3 linked regions of the Caenorhabditis elegans genome follow. The protein of the gene in region 1 interacts with the protein of each later gene in a pairwise test. Each region holds a gene or a part of one and is shown on either strand. Other genes may lie near its edges. The genes, in order: pid-2, cri-3 and prps-1.

Evidence for each region.
Region 2: the proteins of pid-2 (region 1) and cri-3 interact in a two-hybrid assay, tested with the Caenorhabditis elegans proteins (one large-scale study listed by BioGRID).
Region 3: the proteins of pid-2 (region 1) and prps-1 interact in a two-hybrid assay, tested with the Caenorhabditis elegans proteins (one large-scale study listed by BioGRID).

What each region holds. Positions count from the first base shown.
Region 1 is NC_003279.8:88,921-97,981, reverse strand, and holds pid-2 (Protein pid-2), read right to left. Parts: upstream 4,961-9,061; 5' UTR 4,891-4,960; coding exon 4,846-4,890; intron 4,801-4,845; coding exon 4,426-4,800; intron 4,374-4,425; coding exon 3,967-4,373; intron 3,919-3,966; coding exon 3,774-3,918; intron 3,714-3,773; coding exon 3,414-3,713; intron 3,361-3,413; coding exon 3,268-3,360; 3' UTR 3,119-3,267; downstream 1-3,118. Other genes in the region: Y48G1C.8 (DUF7747 domain-containing protein), read left to right, coding at 22-382, 990-1,156; Y48G1C.13 (Chitin-binding type-2 domain-containing protein), read left to right, coding at 2,670-2,745, 2,864-3,006, 3,053-3,118; natc-3 (Sm domain-containing protein), read right to left, coding at 5,334-5,459, 6,388-6,573; mtm-10 (Myotubularin phosphatase domain-containing protein), read right to left, coding at 7,375-7,563, 8,398-8,610. UniProt on the Caenorhabditis elegans protein: Involved in gene silencing mediated by a class of 21 nucleotide PIWI-interacting RNAs (piRNAs) that possess a uracil residue at the 5'-end (also called 21U-RNAs) and that guide the Piwi protein prg-1 to its DNA targets for silencing.
Region 2 is NC_003281.10:3,391,615-3,399,962, reverse strand, and holds cri-3 (Conserved regulator of innate immunity protein 3), read right to left. Parts: upstream 3,379-8,348; 5' UTR 3,374-3,378; coding exon 3,102-3,373; intron 3,052-3,101; coding exon 2,867-3,051; intron 2,817-2,866; coding exon 2,713-2,816; intron 2,664-2,712; coding exon 2,514-2,663; 3' UTR 2,336-2,513; downstream 1-2,335. Other genes in the region: Protein clpf-1, read right to left, coding at 421-504, 558-669, 719-870, 922-1,124, 1,435-1,632, 2,050-2,209; mlc-4 (Myosin regulatory light chain), read left to right, coding at 6,182-6,280, 6,399-6,746, 7,201-7,272; elmd-1 (ELMO domain-containing protein C56G7.3), read right to left, coding at 7,523-7,611, 7,738-7,865, 8,206-8,282.
Region 3 is NC_003281.10:7,206,549-7,219,060, forward strand, and holds prps-1 (ribose-phosphate diphosphokinase), read left to right. Parts: upstream 1-3,418; 5' UTR 3,419-3,559; coding exon 3,560-3,653; intron 3,654-4,887; coding exon 4,888-5,031; intron 5,032-5,982; exon of another isoform or gene 5,983-6,068; coding exon of another isoform or gene 6,069-6,099; intron 6,100-6,186; coding exon 6,187-6,344; intron 6,345-6,691; coding exon of another isoform or gene 6,692-6,703; intron 6,704-6,750; coding exon 6,751-7,265; intron 7,266-7,572; coding exon 7,573-7,746; intron 7,747-7,796; coding exon 7,797-7,956; intron 7,957-8,070; coding exon 8,071-8,166; 3' UTR 8,167-8,557; downstream 8,558-12,512. Other genes in the region: Zinc metalloproteinase dpy-31, read left to right, coding at 1-265, 316-546, 626-751, 803-881; rpl-6 (Large ribosomal subunit protein eL6), read left to right, coding at 1,907-2,035, 2,263-2,446, 2,645-2,832, 3,055-3,207; R151.1 (Protein kinase domain-containing protein), read left to right, coding at 9,978-10,164, 11,283-11,384, 11,430-11,524, 11,789-12,081, 12,258-12,366, 12,428-12,512.

The sequences.
Region 1 (9,061 bases):
CTGAAATAGTAATATTTCCAGCCTCTATCACAATCTGGAATGGCGCGTGGAACAAGTCGAAACGAGGCTCTCTTCCGTATTGCCAAGAACTCATTTGGCTCAGCAACCGACAACGAGACATTCGATTTGCTCTTCAAAATGCTCTTCGAAAAAAGCGAACATCGTCTCTTGCAAATAGTGAATCACACGTTTGGAGTCGAAATAATGGCTGGAGAAGAAATGGATAATGGAGAAATGCATTTGCATATGGCTCCTGATGGAGCAATTGTTGAGGAAATTGTCGAGGAAGAAGTTATTGGGACAGTTGGTGATGATGTTAATTTGGAAGAAGAAGTGCACGAGAATGAGCCTAAAGTTTATACTGGGGAGAAGCAGATTAATGGTAAACAGATTTTCTGAAAAAATCCAAAATGTATTCATTTTCCTCATATTTTTACCAAAAAATGTGAGAACGGATTGATATTAAAAAATTGCAAAAAAATGTATTAAATTTTCGAAAAAAGATAAAAAAAATGTTTCACTGAAACTTCATTTTTTGGCAGGTTTCCAAAAAAATTGAAATTTTTTTTCTAGTTTCTCTGAGCAAAAGGTTGACCGAAAATGTGTAATTTTTGATAAATTTTACATTTATTTTGCAATTTTTCGAGTTTTTCTGAGAAAGAACACCGAAAATATTGCAAAATTTTTTCAAAAACTGCCCATGTCAGGTTAAAAAATAGAAATATCACAGAAAATTTTGCGTTTTTCAAAAAAACTCACACACACACAAAACCGAAAGAGAATGAGGACGAAAAATATATAATTATTGAGTTTTGTGAAGTTTTTGATTTAAAAAAAAATCAATAATTATCGTTTTTTTTTTTGAAATTTATAGAAAGAAAACTCAATAACTATCTAATTGTGTGGAATTATCTGAAAAATAGAAATAAACACAGAAATTTGTCGATTTCTTGTCTAAAAAATGTATTTTTTAATTCTATAAATTCCAGATGTCCTCGAACAAGTGGTTGTGGAAGAGCCAAATCATCACGACGATCATCCTCCGCATGAGCTGCTCGAAGAAGATGCTCTCGTGAACCCAGATGATGTGATAGTCGACCCCAATCAGCTGATCATTCATGATGACGATGATCAACGGCAGCAGAATATCCAATGATCTCGTTTTTTTCCATTTTTAATGTGCTCTGTGAGCTTTTTTTTTCTTTTTCTCTAACCTTTACCCCTTTTTACGTGCCTTTTCTCGTTGTTCACCCACTTTTTGTCTGCCTGCCTACATTCCTACATGTCTATTTGTAGGCAGGCATTCATTTTTCAAGCCCTAGTGGCGTGACCTTTGATCTCCTCTTACCTTTTATAGTTTTTTTTCTATTTTGTTACACACATTTGAAGTTGACCCCCATCTCCTCATCTCCCCCAAGCATGGCCTAGAAATTCCCGTCCAGGAGAATTCGGCCGCCGCCACGTGGCACAAAAACACTTTTTCAGTCTAATAAATCCCCCTCTTTTTAATTTTCATTCGAAAAATTCATAGTTCTCAACGGAATGATTGATGAAGCACGCGGGCTGATGAGCGGGTTTGGGAAGCTCCAAGATTTCTGGAAAAAAAATCAATAGTGGTGGCATAGAAAAAGTTAGGAAATGCGGCGAAAAAAGCGATTTTTTACTGGGGTTTTGCAAAAAAATTAGTGACCATCGATTTTTGCGAATTTCCGTTTAATATCGATTTTTCAGAAAAGTGCAAATATCTATTTTTCTGTTTTAGAAAAAAAATCAATAATTATTGATTTTTGTGCAGCGAAAGAAAAATTCGTCCAAGTTGCGAAGCGGCGAAAAAATCGATAATTTTCCCTGACCAATTTTTTTTAAATTGAACCACTTTTTTTGGATACTTGACAACTTTTTAGTGTTCGAAGATCAATTTTGAATCCTTTAACTAGAAAATTAATCATTTTAGATTTTTAATGGTTTTTGATGGGTTAAACCTAGATTTTCTGAATTCTGCATATATGAATTACCCGTTTTCAACAAAATTAGACAAGTTTTTATTTTTGCCCAATTTTTTTCAGCCATCTAATGACTGTCCTTTTTTTTGGGCAAGAAAAATAAATTTTCTAAAAACGTTTAAAACTATTATATTTTGAAAAAGGACAATTTTTTAGGGCTTGGAGACCAATTTTAAGTTCTCTAGCTACAAATTGAACCAATTTAGAGGAGTTTCAAAATTGTGAGTTTTTGCAAAAATTGCCAAATTTTGCCACTTTTTAATGGTTTTTGATGGGTTAAACCTAGATTTTCTGAATTCTGCATATATTAATTACCCGTTTTCAACAAAATTAGACACTTTTTATTTTTGCCCACTTTTTTTTCAGCCATCTAATGACTGTCCTTTTTTTTTTGGGCAAGAAAAATAATTTTTTGGAAATTATACAAACCTACTATATTCTGAAAAAGGGCAATTTTTTTGTCTTAGAAAATCAATTTTGAGTTCTCTAACTACAAAACTAACCATTTTATGGTAGTTTCAAATTTGTCAAATTCCGTACGGTTGAAAACCCCCCATAATGACTCATATTTTCCGGTTTTAATTGAAATAAATGTTGCTTTGTTTTCTTACAGCTCAAAAATTCCTATAAAAACCAAACGAAACCCCCAAAAACAATTAAATTTCAATGCTTCTCCCTATCAAAATTTTCCTAGTTGCTGGCTTCCTTGTCGATGGACAATCGACTCCTACAAAAAGCTATCGTAAGTTGAGGTTTGGATCTCGCGGCGAGTTTATTGATTTTTAATTGAAAAATCGATAATAAACAGCGCTTTTTCCCGATTACTGTAGTACTTCGCTGCGAGACCAACAACTTTTCAGCGGTACCGAACCCATTAAACGGTACATGTCAATATGATGGTCTGGCCATGGCGGATCCATACGATCCAATGATATTCTATCAATGTTGCAAATATATGTGGTTTTTTCAAACTTGCAACGACGGCATGGTTTTTGATAAAATTGCGAGTTTGTTTGATTGATAAAAATTTCAAACCCTTTCCGTTTCAGAAACTCGCCTGCGTTCCATCTTCTGGTTCTTCTCAAAAACTGGCAGTTAATCAGAAAGTTTTTTAATTGCTAATTAAAAATATACGTTAATTTAGCATGAAACATAGGACATAACAAGTAAAGAAAAAGGGAAAATTGAACAAAAGAAAAAAAACGGGAAAATACTTTTTAAAATAAGGCAGAAGAAATACAGAAATATATAAAACTTTGAGTGATCAAAATGGGCACTCGCTGAATCCTCGTAGTGATTTGAGGCAATAATCCGGCTGTTTCATGCAGATTGGTGAACTTCGGACTTCGGATTTCAGCTGAAAATAAGAAAATTTATCGAAAGCCTTTTTCTCTGGAAAATTGTGCTTACAACGTGCTCTTTCTGATACTGATCACGCATTTTCCGAACAGACGGTGGCCACGTCTTCGGGCAATAATTCAGAAAGCGTCCTTCGGTAATAATCATCACGACTCGCGGGGGTCCGGCGATAAGTGCTTCGAAATATGCAAACGTGCTGTTCTGATAGCACGGAACCACGAACGCCATCATGCTTCCCTTCGTCGCGTATTTTTCACCCGCCGACTCAATGATTCCGATTTGATTTGCACCGGCGAACACATTAACGTGACCCTCCAATCTTTGAGACTTCAGCCAGTAGCCGTTCGGTGTCTGGAAATAGATAAATAATTATAAATGCTGTTAAAATTTAATATTAAAATGATTAAGCACCTTCTTTGTAACGACTAAATCATCGAATCTGAGCACTCTCGCTGGCCATAAATTGCGCCCAATATTCGGATCCTTCTCTGATTCTTCGATGAGTGGCTGGAACGATGATATGGTCCATTGAATCGGGGAACCATCGGGAATCGAGCTGAAAATTTGGAACTATTATTCTTTTTACGCGTTTTTTTTAACTAACAAGTTAAATTCCGCCTTGACAGTAATATGGCACATTCGCAACGGCGCGAAAATCTGCATCTCGGTCAGCAGCAGCTTCCGTCGAATATTGGCTCGATCCGCGGCACTCAGATAGATCGGTCCGACCGCATCTGTCCAAACCATCGTCCTGTGCGTCTGATGATCGTCGTCCAACACAAAATCAATCCAATTCACTATCCCGAAAATCCGAAGCTCGACGCCTTTGTTGTAACGATATTTGGGACTGATTAGACCAGTTTGAGGAAGGGACGAGTGAATCGGAAGCACTTCGTACAGACCGTCTCCGATGATTTTGTACTTCACTAGCGGCGTTTTGTCGATCGAATCCGTCTGTTGAGGCGTGAGAATTATGCGTTGGATTCCGCCTCGATAGCTGTAGAGTAGGTGCTGAAATTTAAAAAATGAGATTGAAAATCAAAATTTTTTTCGTAATTCCTACTTGATAATTCGCCTTATCCGGCGTTTTCTCCTTATTAATCGCCAAAGCGATGTACCAATCGTGATCGCGGTACTCGACAAGCTCAGAGGCCTCGAACTTGTCATCCTCGCTTCCTATTCTTTCGATCACCGCCCAACACTCGTTCTCGACGTCTTTTTCGTCGTCCTCGAACACTTCTGAGCCATCTGCGGGGACATTCATGTAGAACCGTGGGCCCACGTCGAAGTGATCCGGAATTTTCCGGCTCGAACTGACGCGATGTTCCTTCGACTTGCTGGACACGGTTTTGATCTCCTGAACCGGTGGATGCTCTTTCTGGTTATTCTGGACCGGAACTTCTCTCAGAATTATCCGTGGGGGCTCGGGTGGCAACATCTCAAAATTGGTTATTAGATTTTACGGCGAAATTTTGAAAAATACCTGTTTTGATTGAGGTCCCCAGTGTGACGCTATAATAACTGTCATATTTCAGCGCTACAAGTAATAAAATATTCAAAAAAAAGTCGCAAAAAGACTTGAGAAAAAAATAACTCGAAATTCGAAAATTAAACTCCTAAAATTAAAGGCGCAGGCGTTTCCCAGTTTGGGTCTCGATGCGACATTGTCGTGTACTCCACGGGGACTTCGTTTACCATGAGTGTTTTTTGAAAAACGACAATGCATTGCTTTTTTGTGGAAAACACGAAAAACGTGAAATTTTAAACATAAAAATTTAATATTTTCCAGTCTTTGTACATATTCAGCATTTTCAACTGATGGCGCGCGGTTCCAAGTGAAGCCTGCGATTTTTTTTCGAATGTTTTTTCATATTTGGATGAGATGAACAAAAATCGCTTCGATAAAAATTAATTTATATTAATCTTGACAAGAAAAGGATGGGATAAATTAGAGAAAATAAGAAAACTGGATCAAATTTCAGTTTCTTTAGGGTCCGGCAACGCGTGCATCGATTCCACGTGCTTTTTCGAGATCATCGCTTGCCCTAGAAATCGGACTCCTTTCAATTGTGGATCTTTGTCCCATCGCTCGTCTGCCTGGAAATTAAAAGAAATTGCTGAAAGACAGAGAAGCACTGGGATTTTAATATTATACGATTTTTGGTAACAAACCCTAATTCCAACCATTTCAGCGTTGGAAACCTGAAAAAAACTTGATTTTTCATGATTTTCAGACAAAATCCTGCCTTTTCTGAAATATTTATTCGTGAGATAGAAAATTGTGTAGTGCCGCGCAGAAAACGGGGTGGGCGTTGTTTTGCAAACCTGCGGCGCGTCGGCTCTAGTGTACTACTCGTGGAGAACTTTTTGGTTACAATACACGATTTTTTGTTATTTTCGCTTATTTTTCCGTGTTTGACATTCGAATTGGTTAAAACTTGTCATTTGAATCCAGAAAAGAAAAACACGAAATTCATCGTTTTTAACCGCAAACCTTATAAATAATCGATCGTTCAAAAGTTAAATACTGAAAAAAAAACAACGAAAATGAAATAAAATCAAGCATTTTTTTCAAAAAAGTTTCGATTTTACTTGTTTCTTTCTCTTTCTTTTCGAATGAAAATGATATCCAATTTAATTCTAATAAGATTAAGACTCTTAATTTGAGAGGATATTCCATGTTTTTATATGCAATTTAGCATATGTGAATTATTTAGAATGAATACCATTTTTATACAAAAAAGAGAAAAAACAAGTACAATCGAAACTTTCTTGAAAAAAAAAGTTGTGGAAAAACCATGCGGCAGTGTTGCGATGTTCCGCTCCGCCCCACTCTCTGTGTAACTCAGATGTTTGCACAATTCACGGATCGATCATTTTTGCAGTAGCCTGGTAGCCGAGAAAATTGCGAAAACTAAGCCAGCAATAGAAAAAGGCGGAATGTTGTTTTGCCTGCGGCGCATAATTTTAAGGAAAAATATTTGAAACTATGAGCTTTTGGACCAAATTTTCATCAAATTTTTACCTTGTTGAAAACCATATTAGCGTCCTTGTCAGTGGCGATCATCGTGCCACGTATGTACCGCCCGTCGGTCATTCGAATTTCATAGCGTTTGCCAATGTATTCCAGCACTTTCAGATGGGCTTCCGACTTTTTCGCGTTCTCGTGTCCCTTCAACTGAATCAAATCGGTACTTTGATCGTCGCACATGCTAGCTGTCAATCGTCTTGTTCTTTTCATTTTAGAGGGGGGGGGGGGGGTCTGGAAAATCAAATAGACATGGATGACGCCACCAATAATGAAAATTTCAAAAACATTAAGAAAAAAGTATTTTTTCAGTCCGTAAAAATTTAGACATATGTATCACAACACAAAATATGTAACAAGTTTTGAAATGAGAAAATAATCACATTTTTGTCTAATTATGCAGAATAAAAGTGAAGTAGGTTCCCGCCACGGGGTTTTAGAGATTTTTTGGTAGATCAAAAATAAATTTGATGAAAATTCGGAAAGAAAACCGATAACTCCAAAATGCACACTGAAAAATCGACAAACTTTCAAGATTTTTTCCAATTTTTTAAAAATTTTCCCTTGAGTGTTTTTTGCACTTTTTTTTTCAAAAAAACATTTCCAAAATTTTATTTGAAAAAATAAAATCTTAAAATTTTAGCTTAAAATCGATAATATTTAGATTTTCTCCAAATTTTCCAAATTTTCGAAAAAATCGATAATCGATCGACTTTTCGAAATGAAAAAAACCGTGGCGGGACTAAAAAAGCATCAAAAAATACATAATTAACCGGGCATATATGAAGGAAGTAGGTGACAAATGAAAGAAAAATGGGGTAGAGCTGAGGGGCAAGCTTTTTTTTATAACTGGATGAAAAAATTCAAAAAATTCAAAAAAATTGAAAATTTTTCGACGTGACTACTGTAGCTCAATTTAAAGGGGCATATTTATAGAAAATTCCGATTTTGAGCGGAAATTAAAATAAAAGTATAACTTTTTCTTCAAAATCTTGTGACCCGAATAGTAGGGCTCTCTATATCATCTCGATGAGCTCTTATCTCGGGGCGTGATGGGGTCAGTGTTCCTAGGCCCTGCGGCCGGGGCGGGGGAATTGGGCGATTGTCGGCACGGACGGTGTTGCTCCGGTGAACGGGCGTCGGGTGAAATGGGGTGTAGGAGGGCGATGGGGACTGAAACATGGAAATTATTAGGGAAACGCATATTTTTAAAGAATTTTTTGAGCACATTTTAAATTTAATTCTTAAAGTTTTTGAAATTTTTTCTTCATTCAAATTTTGAAGGCAAGAAAGTGAACGATTGTAGATTTTTAAAAAATTTTGTAAAGCAAAATTTAAAAATATGATTCTAGAAATTTTTTCATCAATATTTTATTGAATGTTAAATACAAAAAAAGATAAATTTTCGAAAATCGAAAATCAAATTTTTTTAGAGTTTTGCAGAATTTTTTATAATTTCGAGTTTTTAAAGGTAGAATGATGAGGCACCACGGTTTCAAGATTCGGTGGAATTCCGGATTTAGGGATTTTGCGCTGAAATGAAGAATGTAGATCCGGAATCCCACCAGATCTTGAAAACGTGGTGCCTCAGAATGATAAATTAAACATTTTAATTCCACAAAATTTTCATCGAGTTTTTATCAAATTTTGAAGGCGATTGATTTGAGTGAAATTTTTTTTGGATTTTTTTTTTTGAACTTTCGAATTTTTCGAAAAGTCTTAAATGAAAAATTAAAAAAATCTAGTATTAAGATTTTCATCAAATTTTGAAGGCGAGCAGTGTAAAATTATCAAAAAAAAACATTTTTTTTAACTTTTTCAATAATAAAAAAACAAATATAGTTTGGTTTTTTTTTTTAATTATTTCGAAAGTTTTCAGTAAGAATTTTTTAAAAATTCAATTAAAAACTATTTTTAACATAAATTTTTATGAAATTTGAAAGCGAAAAAATTGTTTTGTTTGAATTTTTCATTTTCCAAATTTTAAATTTTCCAAAAATCCCGTACATTCTTTAAAATAGGCGTCTCAACAGTTCGGGAATGTGGTCTTGGTGATAATGAATCATCAAATGCATATTTCGAATATCCGACAATTTGCTCTTTTGGTCTCATTTGAATAACTGGCGATTCGGAGCCAATTGTGGCAGCTGCTCGACGATTTCGTTTCTCAAGTGTCGAATGATCGAATATTGATTCTGTTGTCGTGTTGTTACGAACTGGCTGCAAAAATAAAATATAAAACTTTTATTGGATTCTCACATTGTATAATAGATTTAGCAATATCCGTACCAAGAGTGACATTTTTCAATTGTGTGTTTTTCAGGGAAAATCGAAAAATCAAAAAAAAAATTTCGATTTTATACAAAAATCGAAAAACCGACACTCTTGATCCGTACATAAACTCATATCAATGCTGAAAATAAGAGAAAAAATAAGAGGGCGTAAACCTTGAAAAAGTTGTTTCGACTTGGATCACTTCGAGTTTTTAAAATGTTTTGTGACTACTTTCAGATGAAAGCCCATAGTTAATAACATGAACTCCGGCAATTAAAAAAAATCGATAAGCAACAAAACAAGTTATATGAATTTTGACTCAGTACTTATTGCCAACCATAATAAATTTCTACCAGAAGTCACATATAAAATTTTTGATAAATATCGTGAATTGACA
Region 2 (8,348 bases), on another chromosome or scaffold:
TTTCTAGACCATAAAATACAGAATTCTTTGGAAATGTTTTATTTTTAGAAAAAAAATGCCTGAAAGGCCCAGGGACAATATTTTCGTGAAGAAAATTAATTTTTCAGCTCAAAAATTCAAATATATATATTTTTCCGATTAAATCAAATGTTTTCCAATAGAAAATAGACAAAAAATACAGAAAACTTGTCAAAATCACTCAAAAACTGCAAAAAATTTCATAGAGCGGAGCCTTTTAGCACGTGCGGCAGGGCTGCGGAAAAACCGTTCCAGGCTTGCAAATAAGCTCCGCCCCTTCAATTTATATTCATTTTTCGAATATTTCAGCTCTGAAAAGCTGATTTTTGTCGATGTCTCTAGTGCAAATCAAAGATTTTTTTGGAAAAACTTTATTTTTCGAATTTTGAGGACAAAACCTACCCGATGAACGTTTTCTCCGCGCATTTTCGAACGAATTTGCCCGGTTCGTTGTTCAACTCCACCGGATTTTGGAACATGTGTGAGCTGTAAATGAATGATTAACTTTCAAACAAAAAACAAGGATTTTCGCGACATACTCTGACGAATTCCGGCAATTCTTTACTCAAATCACTGTAGAGCCTCTCGTGATCGAGCACAATAACCACGTCGACTTCAAATGCCGATGCCGCTTTTACAATGCATTTGTATCTGAAATTGAGCTATTTTAAACAGATTTTCAGCGAAAAAAACGACAAACCCTTCCCCATCAACCCATCCACAGGTGTTAATGATCATTCCGCCGATTTTGGCTTCATCATTCTCCTGAATTTGTGCATTTAGTGTAGTTGCCATCTCTTTGAACAATGCTTCGTAGAGAGATAGATTTGCCGACGGAGAAGTGTGCCCAAACTGGAAAAAATTGGGAAAAATTGTGAATTATTTGATAAATTTAAAGCCTACATTAAAGACAATCGGCTGATTTCTCTCGAATCCATCAATGACGTCGGCTGTTTTTTGTACAAGAACAGCTGCAACTGTTCCGGGCACCGAAACGCTGTTCTGACCGACATCGAGCTCCACAAATATCGGGGTACGTCCTTGGCGAACCGAATAGTTGCACAGAATACGGGAGACTGTGGTTTTTCCGACGTCCGTTGGTCCAACTGGAAAATTAATTATTTTTTGGGTTAAAAATCAGTAAAAAACCGGAAAACAAGGTTTTTTCTACATTTTTCGAAGCCAAACATAAAAATAAATTACTTAAATTCCGAAAAAAAATAAAATAAAAAGGTGGGCGGGCCGTGCGGCACGGTTGCAAAACAACCGTGCCAGGCTTGCAAATAGCCCCCGCCCCTTGAAAATATTGATTTTTCCAGTATTTCAAATGATTTTTACTCGATTTTCCTGCAGAAACCACAGAAATTTTCAGTTTTTCGACGAAAAATCTCCAAAAAAAGCCTAGAATCAGCTCACCCAACAGCAATCTCGGTCCTTTTGCCTTATTCGAGTTTCCAGCCGCCTGTTCCTCTCTCTTCTTCCGAACTTCTTCCATAGCTGCGTGAATATTCAGATAAATGACCATCGGAGTGCTCTCGGCAACGTATGCGCTCTCGGTTGTGCCGACGAGCTCAATTGTGGCGCCTTTCCACGTGAACGCCGCCACACGAGATTCTGAGGAAAAATTGGGTTTTAAATGGCAGAAAATGGGCCGAAATTGACTTTTATGGCCAAATCCATTGGTGTTTCTCAATTTTTTTCTGTGATATTTGATTTAAAACACTGTTTTCCAGACTTTTCCGCATAAAACAAATGATTACATCTGAAATTATCGATTTTTAGGCCAAGTTTCAAGATGAAGTTTCAGCGAATTTCTCTACTTTAACCGCAAAGAAACACGCTAAAACTTGGAAATTGACCTAAAAGTCGATAATTTCACAGAAATTTGTGCTTTTTCTGCGGAAACATTAGGAAAACAGTGTTTCAAGCGAAATATTACAGAAAAAAAACGGAGAAAGAGCAATAAATATAGCCAGAAAACGGGAGTTTTTGAAAAGTTGAAAAAAAATCCAGATTTCGAGGAAAACTTACTGGCTGGAAATGTATATTTCTTATTTAACAGCAGTTCTGTGCCAAAAATTTCAGCGTATCCCTTGACGAGCTCCAGACAGACATCCGAATCGTCTCCGGCGGCAAATCTCAGCTCACAGTCCTCTTTCAAAACGAACTCTTGAACATTCTCCTCGCTCATTTCTTTGGAATCTGAAAATGAGGCTTTATTGATTTTTTAATTTTCAGGAAAAAACGCGGAATTAGATAAAGCAAAGACATAGTTAATTTACAAAAAATTTGGGATGCGGAAAACTACAAAAGAAGAAAAAAACAATGGGTTTATTATTTTTGGAGGAGAGAAACCTCAAAACAGAACAAAAAACTAAGGAAAATAAACGAGCTGAAAGAAAATGTGCTACTTATTTAGATTACCTAAAAACGTCAACAGTAAAGTTATAAAAGACAGAAAAAACAAAACAATTGAAAAAATTTCAGAAAGCAATCTATTTGGAGATGAACTTCTTGATCTTGTCGAGAAGTCCAACGTATTGAGAGTGCTCGTAGTGAGTGGCATAGGCGACGAGAGTCTTGCAGAACCGAGCATCGAGACCGCGTTCTTCCAAATAACGAACGAACAGGAGATCGTGGAGGTCCTGGAATTAGAAAAAATCAATAATTTGCGGTCCTCTTGGGACTACTAACTGGATCGATATATTTTCCACTGCTAGCGTACACCTCGGATGGTACGTCCTCGTTTCCATTCTTGGCAGATGGGGCGACGTAGAACTCTTCGACGCGGAAATCATCTATAAATAGTATATATTTTATTCGAGTTTTCGATAAAATCGAGTATTACACTCATCAGGTTGATCGTCAACTGGCACAAGCTCGAGATGGAAGCAAAGTCTCTGATCTCCCTTGGTAATCTCGACGGTGAATGGTGGCATGGCTACTGGAACTGGAGCGACGGCCTGGGATGGCTCATCGTCGAATCCTTCGTCCATATCGACAGAGTGGTTCACATTGAAGACGACGAGAATGCTTTAAAAAAATTAACTTTAGAACTATGAAAAATTCTGAAAAAAACGAACTCTTCGCTTCCATTCTTCTTGGTCAGCCTAACTTCGGCGTCCTTATTGGTGACTTGGAAGCCAGCAAATGTCGGCGCAACGGCTCCTTGAAGATTGTCGCTGCTCAGCTGTTGCTCGGCTTCGATCTCACGGTTCAGGGCCTGTTGAAGTTCTGGCGTTACTGACAGAACCTTGGCCGATTGTGAGAAATGGCGTGGAGCGGCCATTCTGACGACCTGGGATGAACGGAGAGCCACTCGGGACAGGGAGCGAACAAGGGAAGCAGTGTTCATTTTACCTGAAAGAAGAAAAAAATAGAAAATTACATTTTCCAAAAATGATGCAAGTTTTTATCGAGCTAAAAATCAAGATTATCAGGTTATAAAGCGTTTCTAATTGATTTTAGGCTAATTTAGTTGTCAAAAATCAATAATTTCAATGAAAAACCTCGAAAAAATCAGTGGAAGCGTGCAGAACCGAAGAAAAAGCGAGAGAATATGCGAAAAGCCGACGAAAATAATTCAAATAGAGCCTTTCGTGGCAAGATATCTTCGCCGCAAAATGGCATGCGCCTTTAACTTGGCGCGCTTTGGAATTGTGTTCAAACGTTTTTCAGCCATATTTTCTCATTTTAAATCGATTTTTTCTTGTTTAAAATGATTTTAAAGTGCGTTTTCTTTGAAATTATTGACTATTGGGCTTAAAATTATATAATAAAACTGAAAATTGCCAGAAAAATCGATTTTTTGTTGTAAAAACATGGAATAGAGCTGCGCAGCTGGCGCGATGAGTCATGAGTCATTTGAAAAAGCAGCATTGCGAAATTTATGTTTAGAATTTTTTGAAGATTATTGATTAAACTAGGAGATTATCGATTTTAAGGAATATTTTTATACTTTTGAATTTTCGAATTTCGTGTTTCTGGCTAAAATCGTTGGTTTTTCTCGATTTTTCATTAATTTTCAGTTTTTCAGAAGTTTTTTCGTCTAGAAAACTTGTTTTCTGGCATTTTTCGGAATTTTTGAAGCTTCAGTGTATTTATTTCGAGGTCATAGCGTTTTTTAAACGGAAAAACTCTTTAAAATTCGAAAAATCATGTTTTAAATCAAATAATAATGAAAAATCTAGAAAAACCGATCTAGAAAACATTTATTTGCGCGGGAATTCAAAAATTATTCGGTTTTTTGTTGGAAAAATTAAAAAATCAAACAAAATTCAGGAAATCTTTATTAATTTTTCAGCAGTAATGTCCTGTATAGTGAGGATTTTTTCTGTCATTTAGGGCAAAAACTGGCGTACTTTCAAATTTAAAAAACCATTTTTTCGGTATTTCATAGTGTTTAGACCCCAAATTCCGTTCCCAAAACCTCCCAGAAATTAAATCGTATTCCGTATTCCGTCGGAATATCTTGTTTATCGGCAAGTCATCATATATACCTCCTCATTCCAATGTCCTTTCACACACATTCGAAAGGAACTGTCTCCGTATAAATACACAACGAATGGGAACTGTCTTCTCTCCGTCTCTTCACTCTCTTCACTGCTTCTCCCGTCGTTCCGAAGAATATCGATTGTTTTTCCGCTCTTTTCCGTTTATGTTATGTTTGCCAGTCATGTGAATCACTTCATAACGTTTTTTCTGCTTTCCGGAGAGAATTCTCCATTTTCTGCTACAGTTTTGAGGAAAAAAAAATTGCATTTCGTCGCATTTAATGTGAATTTTGGCCGGGGGAAAATATTAAACAATCTACATTTTTATACCGGGAATTGGGTGGGCGGCAAGTGCTGTTCGGCAAATCGCCAAATTGCCGGTTTGCCGATTTGCCGGAAATGTGTAGAGGCACTTTTTATAAGACGGAACCACTTAAAACTGCCTTTTTGGAATTTATATCCCGCTTTTTAAAGAAATTTTCATAGAAGTTGCTTATTTTTCAAAATAGACGTAGGAACATTCATAGGGTGCGTACAATTTTGCCGATTTAAATTGAAATTCTGAAATTTCCAAAAAAAGGTGCAAAACCACATTTTGCCGAAAATTTTCGGCACCTGTCGTTTTTCCGGCAGTTCGCCGATTTGCCAGAAATTTTAATACCGGCAATTTGCCGATTTTCCGGAAATTTTGAACTCCGGCAATTTGCTGATTTGCCGGAAATTTCAATTCCGCCAATTTGCCGATTTGCGGGAAATTTCCATATAGGCAATTTGCTGATTTGCCGGAAATTTCAATTCCGCCAATTTGCCGCCCACCCCTGACATTAACATTAATTGAAAATAATTGATGATTTTTCCAAGTTTTGCAAAAAAATTCCGGAACTTTTAAACTGATTTTCCTTGTTTTTTTTGCCGAAAAACGAAAAAGTGCAAATTTTAAATAATTTACGCTCCGTTTTTCCTCATTTGACATCCTAAATATGCCCTCCGCCTATTAGATTCTAATCTTTTCTCCGTTTCTCGGTCATTTCCCTCAAAAATGTGTCATATTTCGGTTCAAATCCCCTTTCCAAGGCGACAAACGCTGAGAATCAATATTTCCTTCGAAAACCTCGCTTCCAATCGTAATAGGAAACAAAAAAACTGAAACAAAACATTTTTTGCGGCGGTGACTCACCGCTTTTTCGTTATCAAATAATATTTTCCACGCCCCGCATCTTTTCAGTTTTTTTTCACATTTTTTTGGTTTCTACCATCTTCATATTTCATCGTTTTTTGAGAGAATATCAATTTTCGTTTCAAAAATACTGCTAATAAACGATAAATTAGCGATTTCAATGCTAAAAACAATATTAGTTTGCAAAAATTATCAAAATTTCGGCCAAAAATTGAAATTCTCACAAAAAAACAACGGAAACTTTTTTCCTCTTTTCCTCGAGGAGTCTAGACGTTTTTTGCATCAAAAAAAGGTCTCGACACGACAAATTTTCATTAAATTCAAAGTACTGTATTCCCGAATTTTCATTGATTTTTCGAGAAAAAAAATCCAATTAGTAAAACTACAGTACTCTTTAAAGGCGCTCACCTTTTAGTATTTAACATAAATTTGTCGTGTCGAGACCTTATTTTTTCCTCAAAAATCGCAAATTTTCAAATTTTTGCAGTAAGCCATGGCCTCCCGCAAAACCGTAAACCGCCGTCAACGGCCACAAAGAGCCACTTCCAATGTGTTCGCCATGTTCGATCAGGCTCAAATTCAAGAGTTCAAAGTAGGTGACAGCCTCATTTTTCGTTTTTTTTTTCGAAAAAATAAAAATTTAAAAAGACGAAAAATCCATTGGTTTCAGCGGAATTTTTAAAGAACAATTAAAATAAATTCAATTTCAGGAGGCATTCAACATGATCGACCAAAACCGCGATGGATTCATCGATCAAGAGGATCTGAAGGATATGTTCGCTTCCCTTGGAAAAGAAGTCACCGAACAATTCATCGATTCGATGATTAACGAGGCTCCCGGAGCACAGCCGATCAATTTCACAATGTTCCTGACACTTTTCGGTGAAAAATTGACTGGAACGGATCCGGAGGAAGTCATACGGAATGCGTTCCAATGCTTCGATGAGGATAATTCGGGAAAACTCAATGAGGAGCATCTTCGCGAGTTGCTCACCACGATGGGCGAGAGATATTCCGAGGAACAGGTTGATGAGCTCTTTAGAGATGCTCCGATTAAGGTATAATCGCTGTAACTTCGGAACGAAAAAAAGAAGGGAAACAGGAGTTTCTGGCTCGAAAAGCTTGATTTTGGACCTCTTAAAATCGTGGAAAATTCAGAGATTTTCGATTTATCAGCCGGAAAATTTGGTGTCGATTTACGCCGGTCGTGTACTCCTAGTGAAGAAGTTTTTGCTTCTTTATTTTGCAAAAAATTGCGATAATTTTCGCTTTTTATTGTAGATTTTGAAGGAAAAAAATCGATGTTGAAATTACTTGTTTTTTCAACAGAAAAAAGTGCAAACTTCTCCACGGGGAGTACACGATCTGCGTAAATCGACACAATTTTCTATAAAAAAAACACATATTTTTACCAAATTTTCCAATGCAAAATAGTTTTTTTTAAATCCTAAAACCCTAAAATATTTATTTTTTCCTGAAAAATAAGCCAATTTTCAATTTTTTTTTTCTCAGGGCGGACAATTCGACTACGTGGAGTTCACTCGTATGCTCAAACACGGAACCAAGGACAAGGATGAGGCTTAAACTGGCTCGCAAACTCACACAAAATTCTCGAGTTTTTCAAGATTCAGTTCGCTTACACACGCTTTCTTTTTCGCCTCAAATAATTATTATCATTCATGCTTTTTTTCACACCATCTATTTATTGTTGTATTCCACTTCCCCCAATACCATGTGCATAAATAAACTCGAAAACGGTTGATTTTTATTGTAATTTAAAGCTATAATCTTTAAGGATTTTTTCACAGATTCGTTTCTCGGGAAGTTTCAATCATCACAGGAGGGTATTGATGAGCTCGTCATTCGTCGGATTTAGAAGCATTATCAGGGATAATGGAGATTTTTCGAGTTGGCGGGTTATTTCTGCAAAAAATTGAACATTTTCAGGATTGTAATTTCCGGCAAATCGGCAAACCGGCAATTTGCCGATTTGCCGGGATTTTGGCCATAGAAAATTGCCCAATTTTCGAAAAAAAAAAGTTTACTAACCACTGAAAATAGTTTGAGTGTTGGCAAGTGTACACTTTTGTGACTTATAAATTGAGCAAAATCGGCACATTGCAGATGCATGGAGAGCAGAAAAGAATGGATAGAGTCCTTCGATTTCGTTGCCAAAGCTGTAAATGTGCTCTATTGAGAAATGTGCCAAGTGGCGCGAGATTTGAATTTTTTGGTGTTTTTTTGGAAAATAATTTGAAAAAATGCGAATTTTAGTTGAAAAAAAAAAATTTTCTGCCAAAATTCTAGGAGAAACGTTTTTTTTTCAAAATTTCTGAAAACAAAAATTAAAATAAGTTTTTGCCAGTTCTGTGAATTTTTGGTATAATATCTTTTAAACAATTTTTTTTCAAACTTTTAGGAAAATGCCATGTTTCTTGTGTGCTGTTTTTTTTTCTTTTCAAAAAAAACCAAGTGGCACGAGAAACGCGTCAGCAAGCGCCCTTTGCGCAGACTTACTTATCAAGAGCTCCTTTCTTCAGTTGTGTTAATAAAATACTCGTAATATTGATTGAAACAACGGCAAGTGGGAAATCCTGGAAAATTTTCTATTGGTTTTTTAAAAAAGTGCACGGAGCGCGATTGCATTGAAACATTTTTTT
Region 3 (12,512 bases), on another chromosome or scaffold:
GCGAACAAGTGATGCCTGGATACGGAGCCACTTGTGGTGGAAAAATCAGTTTAACTAGATCTACAACTAGAATATCATCACCTGGATATCCAAGAGAATTCAAAGAAGGACAAGAATGCTCATGGCTTCTCGTTGCTCCACCAGGTCATATTGTAGAATTTCAGTTTATTGGAGAATTTGAGATGTACTGCAAAATTAGACATTCTTTGTGCATGGACTACGTAGAAGTTAGAAACTCTACTGATTTTGCAAATACTGGAATGAGGTATATTTTGTAATTGCATAGTAATTACCTAACATTATGATAATTTCCAGATATTGTTGCTATGGAACTCCTCCAACTAGAATCCGTTCTGCAACTACTGATATGGTTGTACTTTTCCGAAGCTTCTACCGTGGTGGTAAAGGCTTTGAAGCAAGAGCCCGTGCAGTACCAGAGGCGGGTAACTGGAATTCCTGGAGCCCCTGGACGGCATGTTCCGCAACTTGTGGAGCATGCGGAAGTCGCATGAGAACCCGAACATGTCCACCTGGAAATGCATGCTCGTACGTTTCCCAAACTAATCAATTGGACCTTTATATAACCATAGCTAATGAAAATATAAAATAACTGTAAATTTTTCAGTGGGGAGCCAGTAGAAACACAAATTTGCAATACTCAAGCTTGTACGGGTATGTGCGCTCAGAAACGGGAGGAAGAGGGTCAATGTGGAGGTTTCCTTTCTTTGTTACGAGGCGTCCGTTGTAGACAGTAAGTTCTTCAATCAACCAAAACTTTGAATTTTAAATTTCATTTTTTCAGAGAGAAGACGGTGATGGCTCCATGCGAGAACGCGTGCTGTCCAGGTTTCACTCTTCAGCGTGGCAGATGTGTCCGGTGATCACCAATTTGTATCCATTATTTCAATTCCATATTTTATCCTGTAACCTACAGAACTCTTACGAAGCTACGGGCCAATTCCTAATCAAACCAAATTGTTATAATCCTTATTTTCACTGTTTCATTTTTCTTCTTCTAAATTAAATACCACCTCTTTTTATGTTGTTTCGAGTTTGTGTGTATGATTGAACGAGTTTGACCATGTTTTTGATATAATAAATATTTTTGATGCTTTGTTTGGACAGACAGCGGTGGTATTGGCGAATAGATCATGAGACTTAGATGAAACTCGTTTTAGAAACCTTTTCAAGAACTTCGAAAATATTTCCGCTGGGTGATCTGATCGAATTTAAGATGGGGAAAGATTTTTTACTGAATAAATTATCTGGTGAGGAATTACAATTCCGATCTGTTTTCATTTGATCATTTTTCAGGTACCTGATCAGGTGCAAAAAACATTTTACATTAATAATTTTCGTTTTGAAAAACTAATTTTTAAAATTTATGACAGATAATTAACAATTTTTTGATTTAATTATAATTATTATTATTGCCTAAATAACTTTCTGAAATATATAAAAATAAACATTTTTCATGAAAAAGTTGCATTTTGTGTTGAAGAACAGGGAGAAATAACACACGTAAAACGAGTGTCACCGTAGTCAGACGCGGGTCTCGCCGCGACGAGGCATTGAATACTCAGGCAACAAGCCCTATTCGCTGATTTTTTCGTGCTTTTTAATTCTTTTTTCGATTTTTACATGTTTTTAAGAAAAAATAACGTTATTTCCAGTTTAAAAATGTAAAAACATGATTCCCATTAAAATTCTGGTTCATTATTCAATTTAATTCTCTGTTCTTTTTGCCAGAAATCGTTTTTTACATGTTTTTTAAATTTTAGGATTCATATTGCTTGATCTCTTTTTTAATCAAAAAATAATTTTTAATCATCCAATTCATAATATGTCTGTCGTTTTTGTTAAATAGTTGGTCAGAGTTGAAATTAATTATTTTGCAGGGTACAAAATGGTTGGAAAGAGAAACCTTCCGGTCATCAGCAGAAACTTCGACCTCTCCCCAGGAGTGCTCCGCTTCTCTGCTTCCCGACTTCGCCTGAAGAAAGGAGAGAAGAAGCCGAAGTTCACCAAGGACACTGTACGTTTTTTTCTCAATAAAATCTCTTAAACGAGGTCCAGAGTCACCTTTTCAGCAAAATGCAGTTAGGGTGCTAGGATTTCTCGAAAATGAAATTGGTCGTATTATGCAAGTAGGGCTTGCTTTTGCGCTCCCCGACTTCACCTCATTCCCAAACATTTCCTACAAATTAAAAAACTTTCAAGATAAATTGTTTTCAAAATTTATACTAATCAAATTAGTTTTAGAGCGCCAAGCTTCCAAAACTTCAAAGAAACGGAACGAAATTCGCTCTCGGACATTCCAAGACTGTCACTCTCCGCAAGACTCTCACTCCAGGAACTGTCCTCATCGTTCTCGCTGGACGTCATAAGGGAAAGCGTGTTGTCTTCTTGAAGCAGCTCCCACAATCCGGACTTCTCCTTGTCACTGGTTAGTTGAACGCGTATTTCAAAGATACAGCATCGAAAATGGACGGACTTTCCCGATGGATCGTTTCGTATAATTTTGGTGCAAAATAGTAGAGAGACGCAGTGTTACTCTTCCTTACGTTACCTGTATCTGGAGAGTGTCAAGCGTTTCCCACATTTATTTTTAAAAGCTGTAAATTCAAATAAATTAAATGTTTAGGACCACACAAGATCAACGGATTCCCACTTCGCAGAATCGGACAAGCTTTCGTGATCGCTACCTCACTTAAGGTCAACGTCTCCGGAGTCAAGATCCCAGAGCACATCAACGACGAGTACTTCAAGAGAAAGTCCACCGCACAAAAGACCGGAAAGAACATCTTTGCTTCCGGAAAGACCGAGTACACCGTAGGTTATTTATCATCGCTTTTTGCATTGAAAAGGGACGGGCTATCTTTATGGATTGTTTCGTATAATTTTGATGCGAGATAATAGAGAGGCGCACTGTTACTCTTCATCACTTTTTCTGTGAACGGAGAGTGTCAAGCGCTTCCCACAATTTCTGGAATAACCCATATGTAGATAAATTTTTAAAGTGATCTTTTCGATTTTCATATTTATTTTTTGCAGGTCTCCGAGCAGAGAAAGAAGGACATCAAGACCGTTGATGCCCCAATCCTCGCTGCCATCAAGAAGCACCCAGAGCACAAGTTCCTCTTCGGATACCTTGGAACGAGATTCTCACTCGGAAAGAACCAGTATCCACACAAGATGCAGTTCTAAATGTATTTTGTTATTGAATAAATTGTTGACATTTGTTCGTTATTCGTCATCAATTTGTTCCTCTGCCGACATCGTCAGTCAGATTCTGAATAAACTTGGAGCGTGTTAGCAGGTTTACTTGGTTGTTCAGGTGAAAGATTGTCAGGCTACTTGCATCGTTGAGATTATCAACTACGGTAATCATACAAATTTTGTATTCGCGGTTTTTCAGAAAATTCAATTTGAAGAAAGAAATCGGCTAACTCGTTCCAGTGTTTATCGATTTAAATATTTTCAATGAAGGGTACTCTCTTTCACATTAGAGCAAACCTTTCCAGAGAATAACCTCCAAGTATTACCTATTAAAATCTCGATGTTTGGAGGCATTCGAGATCGTCTATTTCGCTTCCAGAAGCACAATCGAAGTGCCCGCAACGAGTTTTTAGGAACACATCCTACATTACCAGGTTAATAATGAACGAATGTACATAGTTTCTTTTCAGATATGTTATTTTTCAAGCTTAATTTCTGAAGTTTTGCTACATTTTCATATTCTGACTGAGATTTAGAAAATTACAAAAAAGAGGAGCAAAGTTTTCTAGTGTTTGCATTTCCCACGAGACAAAAGAAAACAAATCAGAGATTAGTTTTCTCGATTTTGTTCCATTTCTCCTCGTCCTTATCACCTCAAAAGTATCTCAATTAGTTTCCAATTAAAATTCTCATCTACACAGGTGCCTTCTTTGCGTGCATTTATGCTTGGATAATCCGTTTCTTTTCGTTGCTTTTCTCCCGAATAAGTCATGCGTCTGTCAGTTTCCATGTCTCTGCTCGCATACATATATTCTAAGAGACGACAGAGAAAATATTCATTTTCGAGTTTTTGCGAGCGTTGCAAGCTCTGTTTGAAGATGAACTTTTTATTTTCTGGTATTTCTTCAGCTGCTCTTACCTTCTTTTATTTAAAAAAAAATCACTGACCTACGTTTTTCTTGTTTTTAATCGTTCCATGCCCCCATCGTTCAGAATTTCAAATCAATTGTTTTCTTCTTTCTATCCATCACAATCGGTCAACACACACATCGGCCTTTTTCTCCATCAAACAATATGTCTTTGACAAAAAAAATCACAAAAATGTGATAAAACATTGAATTTTCACTGGCTGGTTCGTCAGCCTTTGCAACATACTTTGTTACCAGTCGAATTGAGTTCCTATCTATTTTGACTTGATTCCCTTATAATTTCAGATATAATTTTTTGTTATCAATGTTATCAATTTTGAACTTTTCATTCGGCTCATATTCAACTTTACTTTCGAACAAAAGAATACAATCGAAATTGACAGTTTAGCTTTTGGACTTTGTTCCTTTCATTTTTCAAAATTGAATTTATTTTAAAATTCGCTGAATTTTCTTATTGCTCTACATTCTGCGAGAGCGTTTCCGTGGCAACAAAAAAAGGAAATTTCTCTCAATAACTGGAAATTCAACCCTTTTCTTTTGTTTTTCTTGAAAATAAATTCCAAATTGTATTTTAAAAAAATATCTCCGCATTCAACTTTCTTCACCTTTCTCTCAACCTCCATATTGCTGTTTTGATCTATTCTCAATTGATCTATTGCGAACTGATCTATCCCTCGAGAATCTTAATTTCTCTGATTTTCGCGTTTTTTAAAAATGTTTCTTTATTAATTTTTCCCAGTTCCAGAAGACATCCTCGACCCATTCGTCGGTCGATCAACGCGCCCAACGGAGTCACTTACAGAGCCTCCCGTCGCGACGCAGACTACTCAAACGGTGTTTTTAAAGCCGTCCGACACTCCGAATCAGGACATTTCTGCACTTGGTAAGCTATTTTAAATTTTGAAGCTTCTGAAAATGACACTCCTATTAAACAGAAATTTCGGGCGTTCCCGTGTCTGCAGAATTTCGCGGTTTTTGTTCCAAAAAATTCGGTGCTCGGTCTCGAAGCGATCGTTTTTTAGCGATCGTTTTTTTTATTCAAAAAAGTGTATGCCTTTAAGGAGTACTGTATTTGCTAACTCATCGGTGTTGCGGATATGGATTGATTTTTGCTAGCTTTCCCCAAGTTTTTTCATAACAGCGAGAATTTAGAAAATACAGTAATCTTTAAAGGCGCACACTTTTTTGAAATTAACGAAAATCGGTCGCTTCGAGACAGGAGCGTATTTCTGTGGCAAAAATCGCAAAACTTCTTGTTTTATTGCTCACATTCTATAATATTATTCAAACTTTTCGAGATTGTCAACAAAAAAGCACTTTCAAATATAATCATTTCTAAATTTTACTATGAACCTATGTAGAAACGTACAAATACGTAAAACTTGAAACTATAAAACTCTACGAATAAAAGTTAATAATTCACCGAAAACTATATTCTTATCTCATTTTTCCATTTTCTTCACCTCAATCCCTCTCCCAACATCATTGTCTCCGTCTGCCTGCAAAGAAGAAACAGTTTTTGAGGCGAATTTGATAAGAAAAAGGGCGATTTGTCAACGACGGAGACGACGTGAGAGTGAAAATTGAAAATTGAGTATCGGAAACCGTCCGCAGTTTTCAATTTTATTTTCTTTGCGGAAATCTCTTAGCTCTTCATTTTATTGAAAAGGAAAATGTTCGTTTTTAAAAATTAAAATTAACTTTTCCTTTTGAATTGAACTTTTGTGCCACCCTAAATGTACTCAGCTATACGATTACTGATAAAATTAACTAGTTATCAGTACATCGTGATCCCGCCTACTTTTTGATAATGCACTATAAATATAGCTTCTTCAGAATAACTATTCAAGCCAATTCCCGGCTGAACCATTCTTTTCATTTCACTTTTATCTGTATATAATATAAATTAACCCTACTAAAATGGCCGGAGGACTATTTAAATTAATGAAAGGTATTGAATATTACGAATTTTAAATCGCGTTTTCACTCTCTGCTTTCATCTGGAACTATTAACTATTTCATTGAAAAATATTTGCAGACAAAAGTGTGGATCATTCTCATCTGCACAAAGATCACTCAATCCATCATCCAACTCCTCCTCGTTCATTCTTCTCATCATCTTCTCTAGCAGTACATCCTAACGTTGAAACAGCTCAAAGCTCATCCGAAGAAGATCTCAGAATGCCAAACATTAAGGTAAGCTTGGAAAGTGCAATTCCTCCAACAATATATGAAATCAAAGTTGTTTATTAAATTCCTAGATCCTTCGATACGAACGTTATAAAATTTTCTCGTTAGGAAAGCTTTTTCAGTTTCTCTTGGGACCTTTGGTAATCTTCAAGGACAAGAGAAAGACAACGAACGTTTTGTAAAGCTTCTTTGCGTCTCTCTTAGCTGTTATTATCTATATCTGTGTCGGTTCTTTTGTCTCTGATACTGAGTCTCCTCTGTCTTTTTTGGAATTTCTTGACACAAAGATACTCGTGAAGTGTCCTTTTAGCCTCTCTCTAGAATAGTTTTGGCAACTTATCAGTTAGAATAAAATGAGCCCAACGGTAAATGTTTGTAATCAAAATGTTGCGATCTTACATTATGATTTCAGGTTTTCTCTGGCTCATCTCACCCGGATCTTTCTACCAGAATCTGCGAACGTCTTCAATTGGAGGTTTCGAAAGCTTCACTGAAGAAGTTCAGTAACAAGGAAACCAATGTGGAAATTGGAGAATCGGTTCGTGGAGAAGATGTTTACATTATTCAATCTGCTGCTGGAGAGATCAATGATAATCTGATGGAACTTCTCATTATGATCAACGCGTGCAAGATCGCTTCCTCATGTCGTGTTGCTGCCGTTATTCCAGCCTTTCCATACGCCCGGCAGGACAAGAAAGACAAATCGAGAGCTCCGATCTCGGCAAAATTGGTCGCCAACATGCTTTCCGTTGCTGGTGCTGATCATATCATCACAATGGATTTACATGCATCACAGATTCAAGGGTTCTTCGATATTCCGGTAGACAACTTGTACGCTGAGCCAGCAATTCTGAAGTACATCAAGGAATCTATTCCAAACTGGCAGACCTCGGTTATTGTATCTCCGGATGCCGGAGGTGCCAAGAGGTGAGAAAAATAACATTTTTTGTGCCAAAACTACAGCACCCGGTCTCAAAGCGACAAATTTTTGTCAAATGAAAAATATGCGCACCTTTAAAGAGTACGGTAGTTTCAAACTTACATTTTCTGCGGAACTTGCGTCGATTTACGTGAACATTCAACAGCAACGATAGTTTGAAACTACAGTACTCTTCAAAGGATCTCTCCTTCCTGCATTTATCAAAAAAATGTCATGACCGGGTATTTTTTAATATTTTTTTCGCGTGGTATTATGGAAATCTGCCGATTTTGTTTTCAAAATAAAAATTTTCAGAGTAACCTCCATTGCCGATCGTCTCAATGTGGACTTTGCCTTGATTCACAAAGAACGCAAACGTGCCAATGAAGTTGAGAAGATGACTTTGGTCGGATCCGTCGAAGGAAAAGTGGCGATTTTGGTTGATGACATGGCTGATACATGTGGAACAATTTGCATGGCAGCCGACAAGTGAGAATCAAATACTATCATATCGATCTACTACAACCTCAAAATTTCAGATTGGTTGAAGCCGGAGCAGACAAAGTATACGCTTTCTGTGTTCATGGAATCTTCTCAGGACCAGCTCTCACTCGTCTCAATGCTTCAAAGTTTGAAGCTGTCGTCGTGACAAACACAATTCCCCAAGATGAGAATATGAAGAAGTGCTCGAAGATCCAGGTGAGAACTACAAGAATATCAATTTTGATTAATGATAAAAAGTTCTCCATAAATGCGTAGTCGTATATGAAATGAAAAATATTGAAATGTTTATCAATTTTCATATTTTTTCAGTGTATCGACATCTCAATGATCTTGGCAGAAGCAATCCGCCGTACACACAATGGAGAGTCTGTATCATATCTCTTCTCACACGTCCCGATATGCTAAATCGGTTAAAATTATGGCTTTTCCGGGTTGACGTAACCTCAATATCCTATGTTTATTTGTTTTAAACTCCGAAATTATTGTATTCAACTATTCAACTACCCAAACATTTCCCAATTGCAAATTATATTTATCCAAGATTCGCTTCAGTTGACTTGTTGTAGTTGCGTGATGATTTCTCTTTTCAGTTTTCCATTCGTATTTCCACTATTTGAACATTTGTCCTCTTTCTCTGTTACCATTCGATTCTGCTCATTTTCTCTTCCTAAAATGTCTTCAAATTGCATTCAACTGTTTATCAGGTTTTTTGTGAATGAGATTCTGAACGACGATGTTTTCTTGTGAAGTGTTCAAAAGCATTTTTTGTGAATTTCGTTGAATACACATGTTGTTTCTTCTTTCTTGGATGAGTGACAATTTTGAAAATCTAATTGAGATAGTCAGATGTAGGTTAAAATACATGTGCACAATTTGTAAATTCACACGTACATAAGTCGACAAGTATAACAACTTCGAAAAAGGAAGTTTCAATGTTTTCGGCTGAAATTATCTAATATAATAATAATAAATGTTTAGAATATTTCTTTTCAATTATGCTACTTTCTCAAAAGATCTTGTTGAAGTAATGTTTCTTCTTTTTTTCCCAGAAAAAGGCAAAAATGCAATTAGTTCAATACTCACTTCAATTCGCAAAGTTTTGGTCGTGCCAAGACCGAGTACCGTACTTGTAAGATGAAATAGCGCGGGGAAACAAGTAAATTTTAAAATGGTTCATTCGCTCGGAAAGAGATTGCTCATAATTGTGAAAATCTGTGTTAGATCAGATCATTTTCAGAATATTCTAAAGCTTGCGGTAAAAGTTCAAAGAAGGCATGCGGTCACACAAAAAACCTTCGCGGTCAGGTAGGTCGGGACTATCTTCAACTGGACAGATTCAACACAATTAGAATGATATTCCCATGGACTCATTGTCCTTGTGCCGTCCTCCTGGATCTTCATACAATCATCCGAACCTCTGAACAACTGACTCTTCTCTGTCTGTGATCTCTCAAATCTGCTTGCTCACTGATCTCTCAGTACTGGCCGATCGGTTACATCTCACGAAAATGAAGAGAGCGAAGAACCATTGTGTCTCGCAATTTAGAGATACACATTATCTAACAACACATCTCTCTGTGCTTCTCACTCTCTTCATCTTACTTTTCACTCATTTCGAAGAAATTATGCTCAAGTTTATGAAATTATAAATATGAGAACTTGATTTTATATCTAGGTGAACTGTGTTTAGTTAACTTCATTCAGAACATTTCTAAATAGCTACAGTATCCTACTAAACTTTTGTGATTGTATTCCAATTTTCTCCACTGTTCCTTCTTAGTTTTTCCTTTTTTAAAATATCGTTTTAATGTAAAAAAATACGAATTGAAAAAAAATTTAAAAGAAATAAAATAAGTTACAGCTGAGCAAAGCTACTGTCTACCGTACTCGCAAGTACGGCAATTAAAATGTTTAGTTCGTGACAAGACCCATGGTTCAGATTTTTTGGAAAACAGTGAATCATAATTGAATCATGTATATTTGAAAAATCTTGCCCAGGAAAGCAAGAATTCGTGTTTCAAACTTACTGAAAATATTTATTATTTGTCCTGTTTTTTAATTAATACTGATCATACCAACAGTTTTCATTTTGATTGATATTCGAAGTAACAACATGTTTTTAAATGTATTCAAAAACCCCATTGTCTCATACTCTTCCCCTTCTAAATTATTTTTACCGAAAAAAACCAAACTCTGTTTTCAGATTATTCCGAACTATGAGGATACACCTCTACTTAATATTATTATTAATTCATATTTTCTTACAAAATAAATCAAATGCATTCGAACAACGATCCGATTGCGTAGAGTCTTGTTCTCATTTGGATACAAGTCAAGAGTTTGGAGATTGCCTGGCAAAATGTTCGAAACGGCCGAGAAAGGATAATCTAGGAGATTCACATTGTAAGTGGCTGGTAATGAAATATGAGAGTTTATAACCAAATTGATAAATCGAACTCATATGAATGCATAATCTTCTAATTCTTAACTCAATCCTAGCGGCCATTATATTTACAGAAATGTAGGTGTCAATATCCTAGGTACGCAGATTAGCATTTAATGAGCTATTCTTGGAAAGCGAAAACGGATGTTGTAGATGGTTAATGATGTATCGATTAAAAACAATTTCAGTTGATTTCAGTGACATGTAGAGCAAAAAACTTTTGAAATTTCTAAACACCTGCCAACTTTTTGACAACTCTGGCTTTCTGTAAATACAGATTTAGTCGACAAAAATTTTGATTCGCTCCACTTTTAGTGCAACCATTAATCTTGATGCATCTGCTCATCGTCTCAAAATAGTTTCCTTAGTGATCAACAACTATTTGTCTCAAGTCTCTCAATTCACCATACTATTTCTCAGAGTGTGCACCTGACCCTTCTGAAGATCACAATTTTTCCTCATCATTCCTCGTGCCCGTGCCTGTCAATTTTCAGTGGGTACCTTTCTCTCGCATCTCTCATCTCCCAGTAGTGTACACTTTCTGCTGATGATTGGGGTCCCGTTGTCCAAAATCCCAAAAAGCCAACTGTTTTCTGTTTCTATTCTCTCACTGTCTGTGTCTCTTCAATCACTTTGATGAGAATATCGAGAAGATTTTTTATGAGTGAAAAGAAAGAAAAACGGATTTTCTCTAAGAGTTTATGTTGCCGCCATTCTTTGATTAGTCGGATTTTTGGGAGAAATGATGAACGGAGTCACGTTAATCAAACTGAGGAAAGATGTACTTTGTGGCGGGCACAAATTAGAAGTTGAGTATTCAAATATGGTAAGGAAAACTAAGAAAACTAAAAAATCTTTAAAAAACCGATAATGATTGCAGTCAGACAAGTCCAATGAAATAAATTAAAGTTGGAGTATGGCCAGTAGGGATTTTTATATATTGACAAATTACCGAATATTAGAATTTAATACAACAAAATGCTTTTACAGTTTTCAAAATGCGATACTACATTGAAGTTAACTTTTAAAAATAATTATAATAAATTTCTTATTCGACTGATTTTATATTCTATTTCAGTATTCGCAATGCCACCAACAAATGTAGAAATCGAGACGAAAGTTATTATGGATGGCGGAAAAATATTAGAAACCACAATTAACTGGAAAGCCGACGAAAAAGGTGTGCAGAAACATCAAATTTAAAATTAAATTTAAAATTATTCAGACACACGTCGAGAAGGCTTCTATATTAGGTACACTGCCGTAAATTCAACATGCCAGAAACATTTTCCTGGGTATTTTACTTCTTCTATTCTTCCGGTTAGTTTTTAAATGTATTGTCATAAATTTAAGATTTAAACCCACATTGATTGATTCTGCTCGTTTATCTATTATTTCACCAAAAATTAACAACGTTCATATATTTTTTCTACAGTCATGTAGTTTCTTAATTTTTTAATTGTTTAAAATATTATATAAGTCATAAAAAATGGAGAAATCTGATGCAAGACTGAAAAACAAAATACGATATAAACTCATTACAGTAATATAATGGGTTTTCTTTCAAAATCTCCGAAATTGCAGGATGAAAGATCTCTAACAATTCCATCAGCCTTCAATGGTCATGCTCTTGTAATTGATCACTCTTGCTCTTACCATCTTCAAATTCGTGCAAAGCCATATCCACCTGGTGATGATAAATATATAATTGAACGAAGGCATACTGTACCTGATTGTATTGATAAGTACTGTAGCTGTCGACCTGGTGATGTGGCAGCTATTCGGGATGTTTCTGTGGATGCAGAGTATCGATTGAATTGGAAATTTGATGAAATGAAAGGAAGAGAGTATCAGTTCTATGTTGATGTATATGAAAGGTATTCAAATAGTGATTTTTTCTGAAAAATGCTAATGTTAATTTAAGTTTTTTTTCCAGAAATTTCGATAAAAACTAATTTTTTTTAAAGTTTAGAATCATTTTTTGAGAGGAATGCATAATTTTTCCAATGTTTCAAAACGTTTTCTCTTATTCCAAAATTAATCACAATTTCAGAATCGCGATGCCTCTAATCAAGAAAAAAGGATCTGAACCCGAATCAGAGGAGTACACCTTTAGAATAGCCAACGCCGATTCTTATGAGATTTCTGCAAAATCTGCAGAGGTTTGTTTATCTACGAAACTCCTTTATAAATATTTATAAGTTTATAAGTACCTTATTTCAGACATCTGCTCACACCTACCAATATCAACTACCGTTCCAATTTACCCCGTTTCAACAATACAAGATTTCAATATTCGCTGTTGATG